Saccharomyces cerevisiae S288C: one gene and its partner. The gene in region 1 interacts genetically with each later gene. Each region holds a gene or a part of one and is shown on either strand. Other genes may lie near its edges.

Region 1 (3,230 bases):
TGGGAAGGATTCAAATCCCCAAAGGAATTGGCCACTGAGATATTACCACATGAACCAACTAATGTTCCAGAGAGTACTTTGAAAGAACTAGGTAAGGTACTCTCTTCGTGGCCAGAAGGTTTTGAAGTGCACAAAAATCTAAAGAGAATTTTGAAAAATAGAGGAAAATCTATTGAGACAGGTGAAGGCATCGATTGGGCCACCGGTGAAGCATTAGCGTTCGGTACATTGGTTTTGGATGGTCAGAACGTTAGGGTTTCCGGTGAAGATGTAGAAAGAGGTACATTTTCTCAACGTCATGCAGTCTTGCATGACCAACAATCTGAAGCCATTTACACACCGCTAAGCACTCTGAATAATGAAAAGGCAGACTTCACCATTGCAAATTCCTCGTTATCTGAGTACGGTGTAATGGGTTTCGAATATGGTTATTCGCTAACCTCCCCAGATTATCTAGTCATGTGGGAGGCTCAATTCGGTGACTTTGCAAATACAGCACAGGTTATTATTGACCAATTTATTGCCGGTGGTGAACAAAAATGGAAGCAACGCTCTGGTTTAGTTTTGTCTTTACCCCATGGTTATGATGGCCAGGGGCCAGAACATTCGTCTGGTAGATTGGAAAGATTCTTGCAACTAGCCAATGAAGACCCAAGATATTTCCCATCTGAAGAAAAGCTACAGAGACAACATCAGGATTGTAATTTCCAGGTTGTTTATCCAACTACGCCTGCTAATTTATTCCACATTCTAAGGAGACAGCAACATCGTCAATTCCGTAAACCATTGGCGTTATTCTTTTCTAAACAGCTGCTGCGTCACCCATTGGCCAGATCATCTCTTTCCGAATTCACTGAAGGCGGATTCCAATGGATTATCGAAGATATTGAACATGGAAAAAGTATTGGTACGAAAGAGGAAACCAAGAGATTAGTTTTGCTGAGTGGCCAAGTGTACACTGCCCTACATAAAAGACGTGAAAGTTTGGGTGATAAGACCACTGCTTTCTTAAAGATTGAACAGCTGCACCCATTCCCATTTGCTCAGCTACGTGATTCATTAAATTCTTATCCAAACTTGGAAGAAATTGTTTGGTGCCAGGAAGAGCCATTGAACATGGGTTCGTGGGCATACACAGAACCACGCTTACACACAACATTAAAAGAAACGGATAAATATAAGGATTTCAAGGTCAGATACTGTGGTAGAAACCCAAGTGGTGCTGTTGCTGCCGGTAGCAAATCACTACATTTGGCCGAAGAAGATGCCTTTTTGAAAGATGTTTTCCAACAATCCTAAAGATGAATTCAAATATGAAAAACATGAAAATACAGCCATATAAACACGTAATATTTTTACCTTAATGTTTATGGACAGCCTTTTTACTTGAAGAATGATCTAACAAATATTTTTTTTGATACATTCACATTTTTTTTTTGTTCATGATGTTAGCATCTGCTTAGTCTTTTTAAAATTATTTAATTTAACGTTTTATTTATGTGAACCTTTTTTTATTAGTTGTATTTACTATTTATTCAAGAATCATTCTTTACTTTATATTGATATCGTTTTTTTCCCCCTACTTCCTCCTCTGGTGTATTCACAGCTAGGTGCTTCTCTTGTCCTCATCCGGTGGAGAAAAAAAGTGAAAAATAAGTCAATGGAAAGGGGGAAGGGGGTAGGTAAATAGAGTGAATAAGTTTTATTCATCATGCCCAACTTCTATTAATATATACTCAATTCAAATATTGATCAGGATTTCAAAGAGTATGTCGGAGTTACAGTCACAACCTAAAAAGATTGCCGTTGTTACAGGCGCCTCAGGTGGTATTGGATATGAGGTAACGAAGGAATTAGCCAGAAATGGCTATTTGGTTTATGCATGTGCAAGAAGACTAGAACCAATGGCACAATTGGCCATCCAATTTGGTAACGATAGTATCAAACCATATAAGTTGGATATTTCCAAGCCAGAAGAAATTGTAACATTTTCTGGTTTTTTGCGAGCTAATTTACCTGATGGTAAATTAGATTTATTGTACAACAATGCCGGTCAGAGTTGTACATTCCCTGCATTGGATGCAACAGATGCTGCAGTAGAACAATGCTTTAAGGTCAATGTGTTTGGTCATATCAACATGTGCCGTGAATTGTCGGAGTTCCTTATTAAAGCGAAAGGAACCATTGTCTTCACTGGTTCCTTGGCAGGAGTTGTGTCATTCCCCTTTGGTAGCATTTATTCCGCTTCTAAAGCTGCTATCCACCAATATGCTCGTGGGTTACATCTAGAGATGAAGCCCTTCAACGTGAGAGTGATTAACGCTATTACTGGCGGTGTGGCTACTGATATCGCTGATAAAAGGCCCTTGCCTGAAACCTCAATATACAACTTCCCTGAAGGTAGGGAAGCTTTTAATTCAAGAAAAACCATGGCTAAGGACAATAAGCCCATGCCAGCTGATGCGTACGCAAAGCAACTGGTTAAAGATATCTTGAGCACTAGTGACCCTGTAGATGTTTATAGAGGAACGTTCGCCAACATCATGCGTTTTGTCATGATATTTGTTCCTTACTGGCTATTGGAAAAAGGACTTTCCAAAAAATTTAAATTGGACAAAGTTAATAATGCTTTGAAGTCGAAACAGAAGAATAAGGACGATTAGTGTTTCACCATCGTCAATAGCTACCTATATTTATATACAAGATTCCGTATAGTTTGTACACCACGTCAGGACATCAATAGCTAATAATCGTTCTAATGCTAATGTTCAACTGCTCTTTAAGTATTGTTTACGTCTCGTCGTACCAGTATGCCAAATTCCTGTCACTTCACTCATTCTCTTTGCTCTTACCGTTTGAAACGCGCTGGGACGGAATTCGCTCATTTCGCATCGTGCTTTGTTGTTTTTTTTTTTTCAAAATTGCCATTGTTTATTTATAAACTACATGAAATTATTCTGTATTTATCTTCGCATTCCCTCTCTTACTTCAAAAGTGAGAACAGCATATTCAAATATATATATCTACTCAGTTGAATAAGACACTATAGCAAGACCATTTGAACTGAAAGAAACAGTTTCTTTGCTCCCCTCTCGAATTCCAACTATTTACAGTCCTTCCTTTATAAAAATTAACTAGCGAGCAAGAAAACATTTGTTTAGTGCTACCCAACTACTTACATTCCTTTAAAAACCACAATATTTAAGTTAACCTGAGCTTTATTTTTAGTA
Region 2 (3,120 bases), on another chromosome or scaffold:
AGTGACACGTAATTTATCTCCGCTATCGGTTGAAGAACAGAAGATTGCAGTATTGTGCCTACAAATGGCTCTTCCAAAGTTGTTTCTATTTTGTTCATATTATGCTCTACCAATAGATATAGTTGCGAAAAAAATGTCGGACCTTCATACCATTCGGGAACATAATTTATAGAGTCAAATTCTGACTTATACTTAGATTTTGTGATGTTTTCAGTTTTATTCAAATTCGAACCTAATAAACCCGAACACGGGATAAATTGGAATTCTGCGTCTGTCCACTGAAAGTTTTCCTTCAACACATAATTTAGCTCAGACTGAATCATTTCTAGTCGGTGCTTATCCCAACTAATTAGATCTGCCTTATTCAAAAGAATTATCAAGTGCTTTTTGCATGCGGAATTCTTGTTCAAATAAGAGATCACTTTTAAAATTTCATAAATCTGATTATTTGGACCATCTAATGATTTTTCCCACGAGTCATAATTGCAATCAATAACCAATACATAAACTTCAGGATCAAAGGTCAAAATTGAGTTCAGAGTTTCTTTATTGAAGTATTTGATACTACCAGGAGTGTCTATAAGCGTCAAGGTTGATGATGGCGGTAGTAAATCATTTTCTACCTGAATAACTTTCTTAAACATGGAAAATCCATTTTCTCTTTCTGTTTTGGTATTGTCTAGAATGACCTTAAAACTATTTGAAGATGAAGGATCCAAATTACTGCTTTTTTTTTGTAGTTCCCTCATTGATGACATAGAAATTTCGTTTAGATCATATAAAAGATGACCAAGCAAAGTGGATTTGCCTGCGTTTGTATCACCGAGGAACAAACATGTCAAATTCAGAGGATGGGTGGCAATGAATGAATGAATATCAATCGACTCAGTAGGTGGTGTTTGAAGGTTAATTGGTTCCTTTTTTTCGGCCTTGGGCACAGATTTGATATTTAAGTTTTCTAATTTTTCATTGAAAGCATTAAGTTGGGCCGATTGTATTATATCATCAGGACTTGGTCTATTGAAATTCTCAATGGCTACTTTACGAGTTGTTTTCGGCAGGTTACAAGGCACAAAAATACCAAGGAGCTCATTGTTATGCTTTTTTAAGGACAGAAATGATGAATTCTGCGACGATAGCGGTATTGATGTACTCAACGAGTTTTTTTTATCTTTTATGATAAAGTTTGTGAACGCAAAATCGTCGGTTTGATTTATGCATGGATCGTTTTTCAAGAAACAGTAATGGTTCATTTCTTTAATAGCCTTCCATGACTCTTCTAAGTTGAGTTTATCATCAGGCGATTTCCTTTTGGTAGGGAGTTCGTTTTCTTTGCTGTCTAATGTCACTGATTTTCCTTGTTTCTCCAAATCACTATTTGACTTCTTTAAGGCAGACAACTTTAAACTCAATGAAACACTATGCTGGTTCGGGGTAAAGTCGCTTCTTTTTACCTTGTCTTTTGCAAGTAGCGTCTTCAGATCCTTCCTTTTTGTCTCAGCATTGTTATCTTTAGTTTCTCTATTCTTATGTAGTCTTTCTAGTAAGGATGCACTTTTCGATGTACTATGAGACTGGTCCGCACTTAAAAGGCCTTTAGATTTTTCTATTCTTTTTCTTGCTAATTGCTCTAATAACGACATGTCAGGTGGTACTGTAAGTTTCGAAGACCACCTCCTCGTACGTGTATTGTAGAAGGGTCTCTAGGTTTATACCTCCAATCTGTTATAGTACATATTATAGTACACCAATGTAAATCTGGTCCGGGTTACACAACACTTTGTCCTGTACTTTGAAAACTGGAAAAACTCCGCTAGTTGAAATTAATATCAAATGGAAAAGTCAGTATCATCATTCTTTTCTTGACAAGTCCTAAAAAGAGCGAAAACACAGGGTTGTTTGATTGTAGAAAATCACAGCGATGGCAGATTATGATAGTGCGAAATATTGGTCCAAGCAGGGAGCTCGTCGTGGGTTACAGAAAACCCGTTACTACTGCCAAATATGCCAAAGGCAATGTAAAGATGCAAACGGATTTCAATCACATAACAAATCGCCATCTCATTTAAGGAAGATTAGTCAAGTGACAGCTGAGGACGCTAGGCGCTACAATATCCAGTTTGAAAAGGGATTTCTACAGTTATTGAAGCAGCGGCACGGAGAAAAATGGATTGATGCTAACAAAGTATACAACGAGTATGTTCAAGATCGCGATCATGTACATATGAATGCCACCATGCATCGTTCTTTGACGCAGTTTGTCCGGTACCTAGGCCGCGCGGGCAAGGTAGACGTGGATATGGATATTGATGATACATCTGAGAACGTTGAAGGTCCTTTGCTTATCAGGATCCATCCCTCATCTTTATCATCACCTTCTGAAGATGGAATGCTGCGAAGTCAACAAGAGGAGCAAGAAGTCATAGCCGCCGAGCTTTTGAAAAGACAACTCAATCGTGCTAAGCGACAAACTGAAAAGGTATATCAACCAGAGATGAAATCGGAAATTAGCGGGGATAGCACTCTGAAACGTGTTCAAGTCACCTTCCACGGGAATGGTCGGGTAAATAAAAAGAAAAAGAAGGTTCCTCCACGGAAAGATGGTATCAAGTTCCGTTGATTGAAAATTTTTCTTTTCAAGCGATGAGGTTAGCGAAGTTGTTCGAACAAGCCCAAATATGTTTAGAAGGCAGTACGAATTGATACCCTGAACTGTTACTACCCGTATACACGTATTAAGTAAGACAATGAGTAATGGACACGTCAAGTTTGATGCCGATGAAAGTCAAGCCAGCGCAAGTGCTGTCACGGATAGACAAGATGATGTGCTGGTAATATCAAAAAAGGACAAGGAAGTGCATTCAAGTAGTGATGAGGAAAGTGATGATGATGATGCTCCACAAGAAGAAGGGCTTCACTCTGGGAAAAGTGAGGTAGAATCACAGATCACTCAGAGGGAGGAGGCTATAAGGCTGGAACAATCACAATTGCGGTCCAAGAGAAGGAAGCAAAATGAATTATACGCCAAGCAAAAGAAATCAGTGAATGAGACAGAGGTCACTGATGAAGTAATTGCGGAGCTTCCTGAGGAATTGCTAAAAAATATAGATCAGAAGGACG

The links. Genes that interact genetically often act in the same process or in processes that back each other up.
Region 2: mutations in AYR1 (region 1) and RTS2 together harm fitness more than expected from each alone (negative genetic interaction), as found in Saccharomyces cerevisiae (one large-scale study listed by BioGRID).

The regions. Positions count from the first base shown.
Region 1 is NC_001141.2:124,435-127,664, forward strand, and holds AYR1 (acylglycerone-phosphate reductase), read left to right. Parts: upstream 1-1,769; coding exon 1,770-2,663; downstream 2,664-3,230. Other genes in the region: alpha-ketoglutarate dehydrogenase KGD1, read left to right, coding at 1-1,299. UniProt on the Saccharomyces cerevisiae protein: Can convert acyl and alkyl dihydroxyacetone-phosphate (DHAP) into glycerolipids and ether lipids, respectively. Required for the biosynthesis of phosphatidic acid via the DHAP pathway, where it reduces 1-acyl DHAP to lysophosphatidic acid (LPA).
Region 2 is NC_001147.6:469,978-473,097, forward strand, and holds RTS2 (Rts2p), read left to right. Parts: upstream 1-1,921; coding exon 1,922-2,620; downstream 2,621-3,120. Other genes in the region: SKI7 (Ski7p), read right to left, coding at 1-1,643; BUD21 (Bud21p), read left to right, coding at 2,748-3,120.